Linked DNA regions of Cricetulus griseus. The protein of the gene in region 4 interacts with the protein of the main gene of each other region in a biochemical or structural test. Links are inferred from orthologs where the notes say so. Each region holds a gene or a part of one and is shown on either strand. Other genes may lie near its edges. The genes, in order: Net1, Cysltr2, Frmpd4, Dlg3 and Gda.

What was found.
Region 1: the proteins of Dlg3 (region 4) and Net1 interact in a test that uses a peptide from one of them, tested with the Homo sapiens proteins (2 studies listed by IntAct, with this or other methods). The link is inferred for Cricetulus griseus from reciprocal best matches to the Homo sapiens genes DLG3 and NET1.
Region 2: the proteins of Dlg3 (region 4) and Cysltr2 interact in a test that uses a peptide from one of them, tested with the Homo sapiens proteins (2 studies listed by IntAct, with this or other methods). The link is inferred for Cricetulus griseus from reciprocal best matches to the Homo sapiens genes DLG3 and CYSLTR2.
Region 3: the proteins of Dlg3 (region 4) and Frmpd4 interact in a test that uses a peptide from one of them, tested with the Homo sapiens proteins (2 studies listed by IntAct, with this or other methods). The link is inferred for Cricetulus griseus from reciprocal best matches to the Homo sapiens genes DLG3 and FRMPD4.
Region 5: the proteins of Dlg3 (region 4) and Gda form a complex in vitro, tested with the Homo sapiens proteins (2 studies listed by BioGRID and IntAct, with this or other methods). The link is inferred for Cricetulus griseus from reciprocal best matches to the Homo sapiens genes DLG3 and GDA.

What each region holds. Positions count from the first base shown.
Region 1 is NC_048596.1:228,912,753-228,915,746, forward strand, and holds part of Net1 (neuroepithelial cell-transforming gene 1 protein), read right to left. Parts: coding exon 2,992-2,994; intron 2,691-2,991; coding exon 2,594-2,690; intron 2,458-2,593; coding exon 2,381-2,457; intron 1,796-2,380; coding exon 1,538-1,795; intron 1,259-1,537; coding exon 1,088-1,258; intron 684-1,087; coding exon 497-683; intron 135-496; coding exon 1-134. UniProt on the Homo sapiens protein: Acts as a guanine nucleotide exchange factor (GEF) for RhoA GTPase. May be involved in activation of the SAPK/JNK pathway Stimulates genotoxic stress-induced RHOB activity in breast cancer cells leading to their cell death.
Region 2 is NW_023276807.1:227,541,397-227,545,929, forward strand, and holds the start of Cysltr2 (cysteinyl leukotriene receptor 2), read right to left. Parts: upstream 3,192-4,533; 5' UTR 2,823-3,191; intron 1-2,822. UniProt on the Homo sapiens protein: Receptor for cysteinyl leukotrienes. The response is mediated via a G-protein that activates a phosphatidylinositol-calcium second messenger system.
Region 3 is NC_048604.1:102,223,244-102,227,166, forward strand, and holds part of Frmpd4 (FERM and PDZ domain-containing protein 4), read right to left. Parts: intron 2,936-3,923; coding exon 1,877-2,935; intron 1,472-1,876; coding exon 182-1,471; intron 1-181. UniProt on the Homo sapiens protein: Positive regulator of dendritic spine morphogenesis and density. Required for the maintenance of excitatory synaptic transmission. Binds phosphatidylinositol 4,5-bisphosphate.
Region 4 is NC_048604.1:69,515,725-69,520,386, forward strand, and holds the start of Dlg3 (disks large homolog 3), read right to left. Parts: upstream 3,065-4,662; coding exon 2,708-3,064; intron 1-2,707. Other genes in the region: uncharacterized protein LOC113837508, read left to right, coding at 3,391-3,531. UniProt on the Homo sapiens protein: Required for learning most likely through its role in synaptic plasticity following NMDA receptor signaling.
Region 5 is NC_048596.1:39,826,449-39,830,371, forward strand, and holds part of Gda (guanine deaminase), read left to right. Parts: intron 1-1,890; coding exon 1,891-1,998; intron 1,999-3,923. UniProt on the Homo sapiens protein: Catalyzes the hydrolytic deamination of guanine, producing xanthine and ammonia.

The DNA.
Region 1 (2,994 bases), on a different chromosome or scaffold from region 4:
AGCCCGCTGGAAAGGGGCAATGGCAGTACGAATACAGTTGAACCACTGCTGCTTATGGAACACGTCATTGGCTTGCAGTGTGTGGGACTGGCCTGGAGAGGGGTCTTGGAAGCGGACTCTAAAGATATTTTTAGCTGAAGGAAGAAAAAAGGAATCAAGACTAAGAACGTGCTCATACAGTCTTAAGGAAAGTTCTAGTACTTAAGTGACATACACACTCTCTTAAAGACAGTCACTAGCCAGAGGTCCCTATCAACTCCCTTTTGTGGCAATCCATGACTGGGGAATGGTTTTATTCTTAAAATTCTTAAGGGTCAACTCTAATTTCATTTAAGTACACTTGTTTCTTCTCTTTGGTGTTGTTTTTGAGATGGGTATGTGTGTGTCTTACTTTGTAGCCCCGGTTGGCTTCAAATGTGTGGCAATTCTGCTTCAACCCTTTTTTCCCCATCTACTCTGGCTCCTTTGTGTAACTATTCTAGAATTTATATCTTACCTTTGTCTGAGTTGCCAAAAGCCCCTCGGAAGGAACCACCCATGCGCACATCCCCATCCTGTAGGTCTTCCAGCACCAGCTCCTGCACTGGGATTGGTTGCCGGTAAACCTGGTAGGAGTGACGCTCATTTCGTGTGACAGGCCGAGTCAAAACCAAGATGTCTTGAAACAGGAAAATATACAGTTTCTGCAGAAATGAAGAAAAAAAAATCCCAAACTTCCTAAATAAGTAACTTAATTGTTAAAGAACTGGATTTGACATTTAGATTCTGATTTCTCTTTATAAATGGCATCATAAAATAATGGTCTCAAGGCTATGCAGGTTTTGCTTGGAGCATTCAAGCTCAGGCTATCTAAGCTCTTTTCTTTCATTGGGCCACACTACCAGATTAGGCACCAGCTGTTCACAACTGGACATGAGGATGACTGGCAGAGGCGTTTAGTCCTCTTATTCTGCAACTACAGAAATCAAGTGCTTGCTTTACCAAAGCACTTTTACAAACCTGCCTCATAATTTATGTGTAGAAAACTAAGCAGACTGGGAAAAGGAAAGCAATGGCTTCCTTGTGGTTCATATTCGAATACACTCACATGGCCACTTTTATTCTTCAGCTCCCCATGGCACAGGAGCACCTTGCTCGCTTCGATCCTGGGGTCCTTCTGCTTCTCGTCCAGGTACTCCAGCTTGTCGATGTAATACTGACACTCGGATTCACCTTTCTTCAAGTTTATATCAGAAAGAACTCCTTGAATTATCAATACCTAAAAATGATAAAAGAAAACAAAAGCAGATGGAGCATCGGCTGTATTATCAAGCTTCCTCCAGAGCAAACATTCACACAAAGGCAGAATCTGAAGCCTGAAGGGACTCTAGAAGTCAATCCAGCCACTCTCTTCATTATACATGGGAGCAATCAGTCCCAGCCACACTAGGTGACTGGGCCAAGGCCACCAGACAGAGGAAGGAACCAGATTAAACCCAGTCTCTGGATGACATCAGGTCCGAGCATTCTATGCTTTTCTAATGTTTCTGAGACTTACTGCTTCCTCCAGCAGCTGGACATCAGGGTGGTCTTTTTGAGTGTGTCTAAGGATTTCTTTTAACAGTAAAGGGTATTTGACGAGGCGACTACGAGGGATATCTAGGAAACTCCAAAGATCTAGTTTTCGACTGAAGGGAGACTCCAGACAGCGCTGAAGGAAGTCTTGGACTCTTGGGTCTTGTTTCTTCTGATCCAGAAGAGCCTTGGCTGCCAGCTGGTTACTACAGTAGCCCTTGTAGGCATTCAGGCGTGGTAACTAGAGAGTAAAGACGACACACGGCACAATCCTGTTATGACTGGGTGCATTAACAAGTGATGAGCACAGACCACAAAAGTCAGTATAGCTACAAGTGTGTTTAGCAGGCTGTGGACATTTTCCTGGCCCAACTGAAGACTCATGACTTCTATTTCCAAGTCTCACTATGATGTTAGCTATTTGTTCCCAGACACCCAAGTTGATTCTATCATACTCCTCACAATCCTGATACTCTGTGGGCCTGCTCTCTCCTGTGAAGTCATAAACAGCCTTCATTACTGAGTCCCCAGGAGTTCTCCTTTAACAGAGCCTGGCACACAGTAGACACTCAAGTATGTATGGAGAGACTGCAAAAGAGGATAAGCAGCATTATAGCATTATAGGAATCCTGCTCAATCAGGGATGTTAGCTGTAAGAAGGTCTGTAACATAGTCAAGCTCGGTATTTTTTACAGGATTTTAAGTGCTTACCATCATAACTTTTAATGTGTCAATGTTTTTAGAATTTAGTGGTGTGACCAAACTGCTATGAGTGACATCACAGGCTGCAGCACTGCCTGTTACATATGACGACTTGCTTACGTACCCAGTTCACGAGAATGTGACCGATCTGTTCCACTGTCCCATCAGGCTTGGTTGCTTCGCCTATTCTTGCCAACAAATCTGAAGTGTACAAGAGCAAAAAAGAGCAACAATACAATTATTTAAAAAGACCTGGTGAGTACCACATTCTTATTAACTTAAAATTACTTGTGTTGGTTTTATTCAGGAATGAACGGATATTAAGAGCAAAGCTGACCTTCATGCAGGGGTATGTAAGCGTCCAAGTCGCCAAATATATGTGTGAGTTCCTCTTCTGACATGATGGACAACTTTAACATGGGGTCATGGTAGGCCTATCAGAGGGGAAGAAATATATCACACAAAGACTGAGCAAAGGAAACCCTTGCACAACCTGTCCTTGAGTGCACCCTAGTAACTACACAGCAAGGACAGAGATTCTGGAGGGGCGCTACAGTTACATTCACCCCTAAAAGTTTACTAGTGGTCACATTTGAAAAGCTGTCTTTCAATCTTGAGGCAAAGGTGTGTTCAATAGAAAAACACTTTTATTTTCCACTTCAAAGGTTAAGACACCATCCCCGAGAAGCTGTGAAATGTCATTTTAAGGACTGGCATATGTAAAGTGACACTGACCTT
Region 2 (4,533 bases), on a different chromosome or scaffold from region 4:
ACAAGGTAAAGGAGAGGTTAGGGCAGTCTCTGCAGGATCATTTAAGAAGATTTTATGTGGGAAAGAGACTTTTTTATTTTTTTTCAAGAAATAAATAATATCAAGAAGAGAATTAACGATGGATTAAGCTTTTACATTTTCTCTGTTTAATTAATATTTTCGTTGCCAAAATGGGCAGCCTCCCCTTCCCTGTCCCTTGTCTCTCTCCTCCTTCTTGCTCTTCCTCTAGTAGGCTCCCAACCCATTTATCTATCAGTTTTGAGACAGTGTTTCAAGTTGTCAAATGTGACCTAGTACCCCTGATTGCCCCTCCCCCACAGTGTGAGATGACCAGCATGTACCACCAAAGCCCAGTGTATGTGGCACTGGGGATCAAACCCCAGGCTTCCTGCATCCTAGGCAAGCTGATACATTAGCCAAAGTTCTGGGTAGCTGCATTATCCCTTATGAGTCTTTTCCTCTATAAGCTTGCTCTTGGGGACCAGCATGTCTTTAATGCCTTCTGTTCAGGACAAACAAGAAAAGCAGGCCAGATCCTGGGGTCTGGAATACACAAGGTAATGGGTATTAACAATTCCTGAGCTGATGCTGACCCAGAGTAATGAGTCCCATCCTGTGGAGGGAGGAGGTCCTCTCAGGTGCCAGGTAGATAGAGTCTCAATTTTTCAAGTCTCAACTCTGCTTTTCTGTCATTTCACCCCTCTAAACTTTAAAACCTTCATCTGCTGAGGGAGTGAGAGTAAACGAAGAGGATGAGAGCAGCCCAATCAGCTCTGTGCCTGACATACCAAGTGTGTTGTCCACATTAGCCACAACTACAACACAACATGTAACAATCATAGGCAAAACTCAGAACCGAATACAAGGCTTCTTTCTAGTCAATTGGAAAAAAGAGTTGGGGCCACTTTATCGGGAGTGTGAACCAGACAGACACAGTCAATTCTATTCAATTCTGTTTAGTTTACTTTTGTTTTTGTTGCATTGCTATATTAAATTAAGGTGGCAAAAAGATATTAAGCTGAGTTGTGGAAATGACAAGTTTTATCAGTTAGACAAGTCTAAAATTCTGTACATACACTTCTTTTTCTCTTTTTCTAAATACAGATAAGGATTTTGAAAAAAAGAGAGAGAGCATGTTATAATGCTATTTTGTATCCTGCTTTTTCTTGCCACTGAGACATGGTCATCTCTTTTTTTTCTAAGTGATATAGTGCCAATGCCATCATTTAACTATATAATAATATACAGATGTAACAAAATTCATTTAATCAATTTCATAAAATAGTTATTATTGGGGTTGTATGGATGTAGCCATATATTCTAGACTCATCAGTTTGGTTCTAACTTGGGAAATATCCTACAATCCCAGGGCTTCATTTCTGCCATCTCAAAAATGAGAAATACCCTCTCTATAGATAAAGATTGTTCCACAGGTCAAATGAACAGACATATGAAAACATGTTTCTATATGGTAAAGTGCTACATAAATGCTTGTGCTTATCAAAGATGCTAAACAGACACTCTCCTCCATGGGATGAAAACAAGAAGATATTTGTTTGACACGCTATTGATCAAATTAAGGTCAAGTATATGCCTGTGGGAAGCTCATAGCACAGGCAGAACTGCTTCAGCCTGATTTAGGTGCCGTTATCTGTCCAGTCTTTTGATATGAAGTCAGTCTGTTTTATTCTTAGGGGGACATTGGGGTCCAATGAAAATAATTTCTTTTGGAAAGCAGGGTGAACCATTAGATCAGTCTTGGCCACCTGCTGTATCTTCGGTGTGCTTGTAAATGGCCAGATATTAAATGTCCATCTCTTGACTGACTTTGAAAAGTTATACAAAGAAAGGAAGTTGGGCTACCTTGGCAGGTACTAGTGCCCACCGGGCTTAATGTTAACATATTTAGAGCCTTCTAAATCCTCAACTTCTCCCACAACTACCTTCCCAAGCCATAGAAACAAATCTACTTCCTTCAAACATTAATTAATTGAAGCTTTCAAATAGGTTCTAATCTCAGGAGTTGAAGTAGACAACGGAAATTTCTAAAGTTCTTATATGCCCCACAAATTAGCTCTCTAAGTTAGATTACTTACATAGTAAAAGAGAGACTTGCCTTTAATTGCATCTCATTTCCCCACCATTATTACTCTCAGGTATGTGGTATCGACAAGAAGGTTTTTCAAACAACCATTTCTTTAAGAACAGACCATTTATTAATAACAACTGAGAAGTAATAGCAAACAAAACCCATTAAAGACTGGTTAATACCAGGAAACCAGGTTTAAGCTGTTTGAGGCATTGTTCTCTAATCTGCTGAGATGCAGGCAATTCTGACTGAGGTGCAGCCCCAGCTGAAAAACCAAGATGGGTGCTCCAAAACAAACCGATTCCAGCACACGTGTTCATGTTCACTGCACCTCTGAACAAAACCACTGAAATCTACCTTCTCAAATACAATCCTCTTCCAAAAGCAAGACTTTTGAGTAGAAAAAAAAAAAAGCCTTATGGGATAAAATGACCAAAGGAGGGAAAATATCAATGCCTTATATAGCAATCGCAATTGTGGCTCTGCAGAATTCATGGCAGCATGGATAAGGCACAAGGTTTACTGGAAGGAGTGAACATAAACGTGTTTGTATTTTACAGATGCAGCTATGAAAGGAAGCTAAAATCATATGCACAAGCCAAAAACAAAAACAAAAAAACATATGTGGTAGAACTGATAGTTGAACAAATTAAGCTTACATTCCACACGTCATTCCTGTAGGAGCCATCAAAGCACAATTCTGAGTGACAAATGAACAAACGGTACAACCCACCTGTGTGCTTCCTTCTGCGCCCGGCCTCCTCCCGCTTGCCCTGCCTTCCGACTCTGCCCTCTCTCCTGGCTGTCTCCCCATACGATGCAGCTTGTTCATTTAAAGCAAGAGTGAAACGGCCAACTCTGTTTTATGAACAGTGTTAGCCAATAGCAAGAAAAGAAGGAACTTGGGTCAGCAGGTCCTCAGCTTGGTGGCAGGATCGTGGGAATGAATGCTGGCTTCCTTCTTTGGAAGGCAGAGAATTTCCAGCTAGTGACCATCGTACCAAGTCACCCTGGAATTATCGTCCTCTAATGACTCTTGATGTTTTTGTTGTTGGGATTTCTTTTCTTTTCTTCTTACCTTTCTTCCTTCCTTCCTTCCTTCCTTCCTTCCTTCCTTCCTTCCTTTCTTTCTTTTTTCTTTTAATCAGATGTGATGGGCGGGGGGGGGGGGGGGAGGGGGGGAGTTAAGTGGCTTTTATTTCCGAAAGGGTTTCTGTTTCCATGACAAGCCCATCAACTCCGCTTTTCACACTCAGCCCTGCCGACAGCTTTAGATAAAGCACTTTCACTACCCTCTGGCTTTCCCGTGCACTCTGGCAAAGGCCTTACTCACTCTGCTAAAAAGTCTCTGTGAAGGCCGCCACTGGTCTCATTGCTCCTGTAATGTGTTACTCTTGCTTGAACAGTTAACTGTGGAAACTCTGTCACCATATTTCTCAATCCACCTGGCTTTTTTCCCAACTTTCAGCCTGATTCTCCTTTGCCTCCTGGACTGCTTGAATGAGAAATTCCCAGTTTCATCCCCCGTTCTGTATTTCACCTCCTGATTCAGCCTCTCTGGCTTCTTCATTCCCATCATGCAGTTCTTCTCCTCCTACCTACCTACACACACACACACACACACACACACACACACACACACACACACACACACACACACACACACTACTCCTGTTAGCTCAACCTCCAACTTGAGCCAGCAATCCCTGGGACCCTGCCTTCCTATATACAAGTGACAGATGGACTGAGAAAGAAATCAGGGAAACAACACCTTTCACAATCATCTCAAATAATATAAAATATCTTGGCATAACTCTAACCAGACAAGTGGAAGACTTGTGTGATAAGAGCTTTAAAACACTGAAGAAAAAAATTGAAGATGGGAAGATCTCCCATTCTCACCAATCAGTAGGATTAATACAGTAAAAATATCCATCTTGCCAAAACCAATCTGCAGATTCAGTGCAATCATAATCAAAATTTCAACACAATTCAAAAATCTTGATAGGGCAATTTTTGCTTTATATGGAAACACACACACACACACACACACACACACACACACACACACACACACACCAGAATAGCTAAAACAATCCTGAATAATAAAACAACTACTGCAGGTGTCATTATTCTCAACCTCCTCAAACTGTACTACAGAGCTATAGTAAAATAAACAATATGGTATTGGCATAAAAGTATACATGTTGATTAATGGAATCAAACTGAAGATGCAGACATAAATCCACACACTTATGGATACCTTATTTTGGATGAAGAAGTCATAAATATAATGGGGGAAAAGACAACATCTTTAATGAATGGTGCCGGTCAAACTGGATGGCTACAGATCCAAACAGGGTCCACACTTTTATCACCCTGCACAAAATTCACATATACTGAGCCTGATAGAAGAGAAAGTAAGGAATAGTCTTGAGCTCAAC
Region 3 (3,923 bases), about 33 Mb from region 4:
CTATTTCCCACATTATTCCAGACCCAGAAACCACTATTTATTGCCAATGGGTCAATGATTGCTTCTTAACAGCCCTGTGGCCTTTTTTCTACCCTTTACTCTATATTTTTAGGTTTGTTGTAAATAAGGTCCCCGTGCTCCTGGCACATAAAATAAAACACTAAATCCATCATTGCTGTACCTGTGGTTTCCTTAATCTTGGGCAGTCGGTGGCATCCATCTCTCAAAGTGCCAAACAGGGGGTCGGCATTAATGGCTGTGTGCAGAGCAGGCACTGTCATGCGCGGACACATCCCTTCTGTCTGTGGGTGCAATTCCTTGAAGGTGGTTCCATGGTTGGGATGACCACTGACTCTGTCGTCTGGTGAAATATAACTCCCGCCTTTCCCAGAAGCATCCGGAATCAGGTGCTTCCCCATGGAGGGGCAGAGGGGCGACTCCACAGGAGTGGCACAGGTACTGCTGCTGCTGCCTGGGCCACAGCCTGTGTCCACTGAAGAGCCTTGAGAGCTCTGTAGAGAAAAATGGCCCTCACTCTGCAGGGATGACATCCGCTTGGCCAAATGGTAGTCACAAAGGCGGGCTACACTGTCTTCAGCCTCAGGAAGCTTAGTGGCATGGTCACAAGTAGGAGAGTCAGCATCTTCAGGGTTTTCTAAGTCTTTGGCTGAGGCTACACAGGCCATGTCTGTTAGGAAGCGGTCCCCTTGGTCAAGTCCTGAACCATTATCGGCCTCTCCTTCAACAGCGACATCCTCCTTCCCTTCAGCCTCCCTGTTCCCCAGACCTGGACCTCTGGGAAAGGCTCTCATGGCTGGTGCTTCCACACCACTTTTCTCTCCCACCCCACCATCAGAGGCCACATACCATCTTTGGCTGTCCTTGCGAAAGGCAGTTCTCTCCAGGTTAAAAGTGCTGAGGTGTGGACTGTCTCTTGAAGACACAGTGCCAACTTTGCCTTTGGTGTCCTCCTCCATCTCTGCCATTTTGGTTCCTTGCTGTTTTTTTCCTAGTGCAGTCCCACTCAGGGGGGCTTTCCCCTCTCCCTCAGCAAGTTTGCTTTTCCTTTTGCTGGTACAGGAATATGCCACCGACCCCATATGCAGTTTGCTAAAATAGTCAGTGACTGACTTGGTCTCCATGGTTTCTGGCTCCATTTCCATGTGGTCTGAGTGAAGGATCTGCTTGGAAGGCACAACTTTGGGTGGGAGGTCAGTTGCTGGGCGAGCAGCCAGACCATGGGACGACTTTGGAGGCAAGACCCCTGAGGGGGCTTTGGAGGTGGGGAACTCGGTCTGCTCTTCTGTCAGAGGGTGATAGCCTTCATGAGTGGCCAAGAACATGCGCGAGAGGCTTTCCGACTGCTTCTGTGCTGCGGCTAGCTCAGAACCCTCTGTCATTTCAGAAGAGTTAGTCTCATTGCCAGAGTCTGATGAAGACTCAGGACTATAAGCCCGCAAGATGGCTACACCTGCATGCCATAAAAAACAAGAAGTGGTTAATGGCTGCAACAGAGGCACACAGAGACATGCAAGAAAATGTGACTCAGTAGTATTATTACAAAGATGGAAACAAACAACAACAATGGCAAAAATCACAAAATAAAAATAAACAAGATTTTTCCCTTTTCAGTAAGGACTCTGATTTTATTGCACAGTTATTTCAGGGAGGGGGAGGGGTGCCATGATTTCTTTTTAAACTAGCAACAAAGAAAACCACCTAGCACAAATCCCCCATGATGATAGATCAACATATTTATGAAATGGGACATATATGAAATGGAAAACACCACATAACAGGACTACAAGGACAAATGGCTCAAAAGGATGAGATGACAATGGTTATCAGTGAATAAATGTAACAATGGTGAAAGAACCTGAATTGTCACTCTTCTGTTGTTCTTCTGAAAGAGCTTCTAGGGCTTCCAGTGTGGAAACCACAGAAGGGTCCAGTTCCTTCTCACACTTGCCCTCTGCGCTGGTGGGCACAGCATCAATGAGGGACACAGGGATCTCCTCATTCTGCAGGCTGCTGCCTTGTTCCTTGTCCTCATGGAAGGATGTTGCCTGGCTCTGAGTGTCCTCCTCATCAGAACTATCTCTAAAGCCAGGTGGGGGAGCAGCGATGGCCATGTTCAAAGAACGCAAGAGGAAGTCATCTTCATTGTCATCTCCTTCTGGAGGAGGCAGGGTTGTGAGGTCAATGATGTCATCGCTTGACTCTGACAAGTCAAGGATGGCTGGCTGATTCATCTCACCCACCACGAGGTCCTCCTCGCAGCTCACCTCATCTTCATCTTCTGCATCGTCAGTATTTTCTGCATAACAGATGTCATGTAAGAGGGGCTCCTCTATCCCCTCAGGGGCCTCAAAGTTCTTCACATCACCTATGTTTGCATATACAGAATTTGCCACAAACTGGATACTGTCTGTGTCCGGAGTGAGATCCAGGTTTTTCATGTCATTGGCACTGCTGATGTAGAGATTCCTCTGTTTCTCCAACATTTCTGGATTCTCATCTAAAAGTCTTTCATAGCCTACAGTTGGGGTACTCATGCCATCATCCAAGGCAAGATCTCCAAAAATAAAGGACACTTTAGCTCCTCTTGGGGATTCCTGTGCTTTCTTCAGAGTGTCTGGTCCTGAGAGGGTCATCAGGGACCGCTGAGCTAGGCTTCTGTAGTTGGTTTCACAGGGGGCATCACCTGGCTGAGTCAGCGGTTGGCTAAGTTCATCTGAACTGTATGTGTTGTCAATGTATAAATGCCGGTGCTCTTTGGGACATAAGGTGCTGTCTGTCATCTCAACTGTCTTCTGCTTAGAATCTATATATGTGATTTGGGCTTCTTGTTCCCCTTCGCCGATGAAGGTGGTCATCTGGGGCATACAGTTCCAATCAGAGCCAAGGATATTATGCTTGCCTTTATTTTCTGTTCCTAAGGAGAAAGAATCAGGTAGATAGGTTACTATGTTGTCTGGTTTCAGGAATTGTAAGGTTCTCTCTCTCTCTCTCTCTCTCTCTCTCTCTCTCTCTCTCTTCCTGTTGTATGCAGTATATACACATATGTGTATATGGATATGCTCAGCTACAAGCATGCACATAGAAGCCAAACAAATTCCTGATATCAATCTCTACCATTCTTCATCTTATATTTTTCAGTCAGGGTCTCCCACTGAACCTAGAGCTTGTTGACTAAGACTGGCTCACCAGTGAGCCACTAAGATGCACTTGTCTCTGCCTTCCATTGTTGAGTTATAGATGCACACCACCAGACATGGATTTTTCATATGATTACTAAGGATCCAAACTCAGGCTTTCATGTTTGCACAACAAGCATCTTATTCACTCAGTCATCTCCTCAGCTTTATCTGTGTTTCTTAATTTGATGGCTTGTACTATCACTGTGTCAGCATAGTCACCCAACATTCCAAATAGGACACTAGCTGATGTAGGCTCCAGGTGTTAGATTCCTTGGTTAGGAGACTTGCATTTAACCAAATTGATACTGCATAAAACAGAGTTGCTGTTTGATAACATGTTATAGCATCTTGGAGGAGAGGATAATATCTTAACTCCCTCTGACAATTGTTTCTATTAATAGGCCTCAATGATCTCCATGAGCAGAAATATGTAACATGACTTTACAACCTTTACAGGTGATATTCTAATGGAGAGTTTTCCCCATAAAATACTCCATTTACTTTGTGAAGTGAGATCTAACATTCTCTATTCATGAAAGATGATAACTGATTTCCTCTTCCTTGAGTTATGAGAAAGTTAAGGATCTTCACACTTTTCTCACATTTATTAGGAAATTAAATGCAATGCCTCTATTTTCAGCCTACTTGTACCTTAGTGGGTATAACATATTCATGTACAAATGTCAGTATTCTTACCTATTTGTATGTATATATGTATATATG
Region 4 (4,662 bases):
GAGAGGTTGTAAGGTGTGCCTAAGGGCACACTGGGAGTTAGGGTGTAGAATGTGTCCAGGTACTCTTTGGGTTATAGGATGCTTCAAGGCCAGTGGTATTTTGGCTACTCATCCCTTCTCCATGTTATTCCCGTCAGAGTACCTTGGAAGCCCCAATTTTTACACCTCCTTTTAAAGGTTCCAGAAATACAAGTTCTCAGATGGATAGGAGTAAAAATCCGAATCCATTTTTCCCAAGGGACTTTTGACTTAAACCCTTTGTGTGTCCCAGAAGAAAGGGTCGGGGTGGGAATTGGCCAGGAGTCTGAGGACAAACAAGGGGTAGGACAGGACTGGAGTAGACAAAATTCCCCATGAAGGAGAACCTGATGACCCATAGACATTAGAAGCACAATTTGTGACCTTTAACATACAGTAGCCATGGGAAGACAGGCAAGAAAACGGTTCAAAAACACAGATTGTTTTCAGCAACACATAGATGTGGCCTTCCTGACAGGACATATTTGTGGCCATGTTGCGAGTGGAAATCTGATTCTGCACAGACAAGTACACCTGCTTCTTCATTCCCACATTCATTTTCAAGACTGAAGGAGCCCCCTTGTCTCTCTCCACACGTGTCCCAGAACTGATCCAAATTTCTATGGCCATGTTGTACCTTTCTTAAGTTTTGGCCCCAGAGAAGAACAGCTGGAAAGCCAGGGTGGGGGTTCGTCAACATACTCTGCTCTGTTTCCCACTTCTCACTTTCATCCTTTGCACTACTGGCTTCAAGAGTGCTGACTAGCCATGCCTCCCTTATTTCCTCCTTCATGTTCTGTAGTCTTAAGGAGTCAGTGGTAGGATTCCAGCTGAAGCCTCACCCTGGTCCCACGAGGAAAAACCTCTGGTTCTTCAGAGACTTCCCTCCCCAAAACCAACACAGCTCACTGAAGTACAATGCAATAGATACAGAGGAAAAGAAAACCCATGCAGCTCTTTCATGCTCCTGGTGCACCATGTGTGCCCACATGTGACAAGCCATGCCTCAAGCCCAGTTTGGGTGGTACCTGGAGGTCTCAGCTCCCAGTAGTCCACCCTCTAGTCCTGGTCCCACTCCCACTCAGAGACCTTGCCCATAGGGTCAGGAGCAATCCAAAGATCATCCTGGGTAAAGAAACGGTACCCAACGGGCCCAGCCCTGGAATTGGCAACTATTTTCCACTGGGCAGGCCAAACATGAGCGTGTGTTTGTAAGGGAGGGGCAAAGGAGAGGGGGACTCACTAGAGAGGGCAAGGAACCAAGGCTAGGGACACAGGAAAAGGTGTAGGCAGAGAGAATGACAGTACATAGGATTCCTCTCTCCAAGAAGCCCCCTCTTTTGCTTCTAGGTGAAAACACATCCTATCCTCAGAGGAGGACAGGGATGGTCAGAATGGCCACCAGTTTGGGGCAGTCAGCACCTGCCATCGACAGCAAAGCTTCCTCTTTCTTCACCCTGGGGGCTGCAGAATTGAAGAACTAGACAGGCCCTCCGCCATGCATGCCAGAGACCTGGCTCTGCCGGCCCAGCCTCCATTTTGCTGCTTCTCCCACAGATGCTCCTTCCATTTTCTAAGCTGGCAGTTCAGGCTGGGAGTGGAAGCCGGAGTTGTGCCCAGCACCCAGGGGCTCCAAGCTGTGCCAAATCAGAGCTGGGGAGCTAAGTTCTCCCACATCTGTGGGTACCTACAAGGACCATGCCCAACTCGGGGCAGACCCTACATTAGGGCAGTTGCCCTTTGCTTGGTTCCAGACAATATGCCTGCTTTGGAGCAAGAAGGCTTGTTGAACACCCCCCACTCCCCCCCACCCCCACAGCATACACTTCAGAGCAGCTTGGACAAAAGAGTCTGTCCTTCTCAGCCTTGCTTGGGACGTGTCTTGCCTGCTCCCCCTCCCCTCTTTTTCCTGTCAAGCGCATCTCACCAGGGACACACACACACACACACACACACACACACACACACACACACACACACGCGTGCGCGGGCACACACACGTGTACACTCTTGAAACCACATGCTCACACACATATACATGGAGACACACACAGGCAAACACAGCTACTCCTGCAGCTTCATCTACAGAGACACCTCCACATTCAGAGAGCCATCCTCACACATCCATGTGCACGTTCTCACACAAAGGGACTGGGACGGAGAGATGAAGCTCAGCCAGCCCTGAACATGGGTTCCGCTACATACATTCACACAAGCTCCATTGCTTTCCTCCACACACCCCAATATACATACAAACACATATGTCCCCCCCACGCAGAACACCATGCCCCCTCCTCCCCTCCTGTGGAGACACACACCACATACAACCCCCGCAGAACCTCCCGCCCCCTGCCAGACACAGAGACACTGCCAACCTCCCCCCTCGCCGCACTGAGACAAACCCAAATCCCCCACACTAGAAAATGTGCCCCTCCGCCATACCATCACCCCTGATACAAACAGCTCCTCCCAATCCCCTTCAAATGGAGACCCCCCTAAACACACACAGAAGCACATATATTTGCAACAGTATCTCTTTAGTCAATGACAGTATTACGGCTCAGGGGCCACAGACTTGGAGCCCCAGCAACCCCTACTGTTCCCCAGACTTCCTAGACCCCAATCCCTAGTCCTTTTGGGCTGTCCCACCAGCCCCCACCCCGTCACCCGCCCATTCAATGGTCCTTACCTGCTCATACCAATCTCGGTTGGTACAGGTGCACTCAGGCCACCAGCTGGGGCCACTGCCGTTGAGTTTAGGGGTGCTCTTGCCGGGGACTGGCTTAGGGGGCACTGGCCCTACATCTCGGCCTGTGGGAATGAGCTTGGCCTTGGTGCGAGGGGTTGGGGTAGCCCCTGCCTGTGAAGGCAGGGTCTGTGAGCTGTAGCCTCCATAACTGGAGCTAGCCCCATTGCCCCCACTTGGCCCATAGGGGTCTGGCACCTGCCAGTCCCCATAGCCAGGAGGCTCAAGACGCCGCAGGGCGGCCAGGCGGGTCACCTCATAGCACTCGGGGCACTTACAGCAGTGCTGGTGCTTGTGCATGGCACTGCCCCCCGCGGCTCGGACCCCCCAACCCACGCCAGTTTCCACGCCACCGCCACTGCTGGGCTCCCGAGCACACTCGCACTGCTCAGACCAGGAAGGGGGGGGCACCCGTGGGGGCGCCCGGGCGGAGCGGGGCCTGGGGCCGGGCGGGCGTCCCGGGGCCTCTGCCCCCACGCTGCCCCGCACCCACGGCTCCCCCTCCAGCACTGGCGGCTCCGTGTCGCCCGTTGTGGCTCCTGGGCCAAGGCCCAGCGGCAAAGAAGAAGAGGGAGCCTAGGAAAAGGCTAGGTGCGGCGAGAACCTCTTCTGCTCAGGTCCCCAGGATGGATCTGAGTGGAGTCAAGAGCATCTCTCCCTGGCTCCCTTCTCAATTGATTCCAGCCAATCAGCGCACAGAGTCGGGCAGCGGCAGCGGCAGCAGCAGGAATGCTAAACAGCGGCTCCTTAAAGGAACAGAAGCAAAGGTGCCCCCCGGGCTCAACCACAGCTCCCCCATTCTCTGAGGGACTAGCTACCCTAGCCTAGGTGGCTGGGATTGAGCCACTGGAGAGCTGCGGAGCACGATCCCCTGTCCCCTTGTCGCCAATTTCAGTCTGTCTTCTGCCCACTCCACCCCGCCCCTCTTTCAAGAGGGAGTTGCAGTGAGATGCTCAATGGGTCCCTAAGCTTGCTCTAAGCTAGGGCCACCAGAAGTAAAGACAGCAACAGAGCAGACCTGAGGGGCATCTGGGCAGGGTGCGAGAAGTGCTGCCTCCTGCAGGGGACTAAGGAAGAGGGCAGAGTCCAGATCTGTTAAGTATCCTATCAAGACCATTGTTCTCTCATCCTCTAGGCCCTGTAATGGCTATCTCACAGTCGACCTTCTTACATCACCAGTGTGAAACTTAACCCCAGAACTGGCAATCAGAAAACTACTTATTCCTGCCTCAGACACTTCTGCCTCCACTCCATGGTTGTGTTAGGGAAGGGAGGCTTGGACTATTAAGAGGAAAGGGTGTCCAGATTAGAAGGAAGTGCTAAGAAAAGCTTGGAAGTACAAAAGCCAGCTCTGTGGGTCTGGAAAGCACATAAGAATACCTGTTGAAGGAGGTCTCCTCGATTCCCCTGTAGGAAGATGGGAAAATGATGCTGATAAGACAGAATTCTTTCTGAGACAGTGATCATCCTACCTCAAGTACCTGATTGGTGGCATTACAGGTGTCACCTGGCCTAACTTTTTGTTGCCGTCCTTGTTTTATTTTTAGCTGACAATGACTGAATCATTACCAAGTCTGAAGTACAAACAAAAAGCCCTATCAAGGCAGTACTAAAGTTACCTTAATTCTACCAATAAAAGCTGGAAGTTAAGCAATGTTAACACAGCTAGGTAACATAGATGAAAGATATAAGTCCTTGCCATTTGATTCAAACCCATGCTCTAGATCATCTATATAACTGATATGCTCTAAGTTTTCCTATAGATTTTAGGTCCTAGTTTAATTCAGCAAGCATTCATGCATCACCAACCTCGTGTAAGAGTGCTGTGAATAGAGACTCAGATGGTCATGCCAAACACTGTTCTAGAATTTGGTGACACAACAGTAAGACCAGGCAAT
Region 5 (3,923 bases), on a different chromosome or scaffold from region 4:
ACGTGCATTTAAAATCCTTTTGTTCTGAGTTTCTTAATTTAAAACCAGGAACAAAAAGTATATCTTCCTTTATCATTAAGTTGTTGCAATTTAGCAATAAAATGCTTTTAAAATCTCACAGCTGGGTTAAAATTAGGAGCCCCCCTCCCCCACTCAAGCTTAATTACACACTGCACTAAAATTTCCCCTCTTTCAGAGCTGATGGTCTTAAAGGGAAGGGAAAGTTGGGGTAAAGGCAGCATATTGATTCCTTACTTTTATTTATTTATTTATTTTTAAAATGTATGTTCATAGGACCTATTAGCGTGTCTTCCTCGTGATTATTGTTTGTGGCTTCTGATATTTGGAATTTGGATTCAGTCCCCCACAATTATGCTCTGGTAATAAAATTCCAAATTTGGATAATATTTCCACTTTGGAAACAGTATGTTTTATTCTAAAAGAAGAAGAAGAAGAAGAAGAAGAAGAAGAAGAAGAAGAAGAAGAAGAAGAAGAAGAAGAAGAAGAAGAAGAAGAAGAAAAGAGAGAGAAAGAAAGATGCAGACAACATAAAAAACCTACATGAAAATAAATTGAATAAGACATGAAGAAGTCTCTCCTTCGTCTGGGGATGCAGTGCAGTTGACAAAGTGCTTGCCTGGCATGCACAAAACCCTGAGGCTGATCCCAGGCATAGCCTGGGTACTGGGGACACAGCAGTCAGAAGGAAGAATCAGAAGTGCAAGGTTATCCCTTGTTAGCAATCTAGTTCACAGACATTTTGGCAAACAGGAGACCAGCTCTGATTAGAGGGATGGAAGATAGGCATTTAATTTTACTATCCAATCAATCACCAGGTTGTTCTTCCTCTTGGGCTACATCCATGCATCTCACTGATAGACTGGGATTTACTCCCCGACCATGGGTAGAGTCCGATGTAGGTGCAGCACTGGTTGGGATCATTACTCACTTTTTCTTTTGTTCATCTTTCTATGTTTCTTCTTAGCACAGAAAAAGAGGCCTGGCAGAATTGGTTAGCTAGTGTTTGTTGACTCATGAATTGTTCCCATTATCTACTTTCATCACCCCTGAAATGTTTTTTTCTAGAGGCTTGGGTGGCTACTCCAGTGCAAGGTACTTTTTGTCCCCTCAGATTTCAGGTGCCCCCATGAAAGGTTGGTGTGGCTGTCTACTCACTTGGTTTGTGTGTGGATTCCCATGAGTGCCTGGTGAAGGCTCTGTCATTTTCATATTCTTTTCTGCAAAAGCATCATTCAGAAAGCCGAGAAAAGAGGCAGACTGAGGACAGATCCTGAGCCCAGCCTTCCATCTGCTTCCAGTATACTAGGTTCTGTAAAATTTCACACCTGAAATATGACTAACACATCTGCATAAGAGATGGAAAATGACTTACCTAAGCCAACACTTTTATTGGCTGATGAGAAATGGAAGCTTAGGAAGAGAACTGGCTTGCTCTATTAGGCTCTCTGTTCAAATTTTAGTTTTTTTTTTTTTTTTTTTCCTGAGTGAACCATAGATTCATCTTCCAATGGCCATTGAATTCTTATAGGATGCTGCAAGCAAGGCACTGGGCACTCTTTAAAAGAGGGCATAGGTTGTTCCTGCTATAGATAAAGGTCTTGAGGGAAAGACCCCCCCCACACACACACACACATACACACACAGAGCCATGCTCAGGATATCCAGTTTCTTTGTCATGTGTATTATCATAGAGGATGCATTATAATTACTGAAAATTAAACCTGAGCAAGTAGAGACTTCAATGTTTTCCTCCAAGTCGCCTACATCAGCAAGTTCAGCAAGTAGAAACTAGCAGCAGCATATTGAGATAGGAGATAGAATGTCAAATATTTTACAGAAAAAGTGAAACCATTCTTTCTTTGTTTGCAGAGCCATGTAAGTGAAAATCGTGAAGAAGTTGAAGCTGTGAAAAGCTTATTCCCTGATTACAAAAACTACACAGATGTCTATGATAAAAATAATCTCCTGACAAACAAGGTAAGCTCAGTATCATGATATAATCTATATAAAGCAGGCTGCATCCTTTAAGTTTCAAAATCTCAGAAGTAATCACAGTTCTTCAGGACACATGCACTTTTCAAACTAGAATAAACCCAGTGTGTGTGTGTGTGTGTGTGTGTGTGTGTGTGTGTGTATGTGTAGATATATGTGTGTGTCTATGTGTGTGTGTGTGTGTGTTTGCATGCATATGTGTATAGATATATGTGTGTATATCTACATGTGTGTGTGCTTGTGTGCATGTGTATGTAGATATGTGTGTGTCAATATGTGTGTGCCATGATATGTGTGTATCCATCTATCTGTGTGTGTGTGTGTGTGTGTGTGTGTGTGTGTGTGTGTGTGTGTGTGTGTTAATATGGGCCTGATGTTTCATCCTCCGCTTCATTCTTAAACTCCTAACAACTTTTTCCATTGCTAATTGGTGAGAGAGTGAGTGCGTATTTTTTTCCAATGATGCTTTCATAGTTAGTAGGTCAGTGGGCTTTTCTTCGAGCCGGCAGATCCATTTCCAAGGATAATTCTTTAAAGAGTGTACAAATAGATGCATTGATAACACAGGAAAGTTTGAAAATAACTATCCCCAAGGAATTGGTTAAATCATAGAATTTACATTATTAGAATTCTATCCAGCATTCACAGAGCAAAATGTGCATGCTTCCACAGAAGAATGCTCAAAACAGTTGGATATGCATGTACATATGTCTTGGTGTGTTTTTACACATAAAAAACGTTCAGAGATATACAGTGAATGTTAAAAGTAAGATTTTAAACTCTGAGGTTTAGAAAAATGCATATGTATTACTTCTATAATTAATTAAAATTATTGTGAGTAGCAAGAGACCTCATTAAAGCAGTATACCCTTTGGCCTTGGCCTTCCATGAAATGAACACACTGCTTTGAGAGTTTACTGCAACAAGCAATTTCTTAGTGACTACACAAAAGGAGATATGAATGTAAGTGATTTGAAAGGTTAGTACTTTGCATAAATAATGTAAATTTACATGGGAAGCTTTATCTTCCTTTACATATATTACCATATGATTAATAAATTAACCTTAAATTTTCGTGTTAATTATATTTGCATGGAGGTTGAAAAAGTTCTATTTTAATAATAGTTTTTGCCTATTGAATTATGCCTCCCAAAGGAGAAAGCAACTGGGTATCAGTTTTATATTAAAGTAAAAAGAAACTTTTTAGAGAATTAAATGTTCCTTGAAAACCCACAAATCTTACCAACATGAGAATTTAGAGAGGTTTCAAATGTGTGGCACCTGCTTTCATAAATAAAGTTTGCCTCCTTATGGAAAAGTTATTATGATATGACATATCCTGATTTTATGTCCATGTCAAGATCCATTGGTGACTATAATGAAACTAGTAACAGAAATAAAGGACAATTCTCTCAGATGTGGTGGCTTATGCCAAAAAAAAAAAAAATACCAGCATTCCAGAGGCTGAGGCAGGAAAATTATGAGTGTGAGATCAGTTTGGGCTGAGTTCAAGGCCAGCTTTAGCTATATAGATAGATATCATTTCTAAAACAAACCATCCGTAACAATTAACCCATAGTTCTTTACAAAATCATATTTGCACCTTCTACGTTCTCTTAGAAAGTCCTGATTGGAATGCAGACAAGTATCAGCCTACTGGAAGTGCATCATACAGATTTAGAAAAGAGGATATTTGAAAATTTTCTGTAGTAGAGATGATAAAATCGTAATAAGGTATTCAGTCTGGTTGGATTTCCTATGCTGCGGATGAGCTGGCTGACCCTGTACTGAATTGCAAATCAGCCAAAATAATCAAAATCAAGAGCCAGGGCTAGGATGGAGTTCAGTGGTAGAATACTGGGCTTGATTACCAACACTACTAAGATAGATAAACAGACAGACAGATAAAA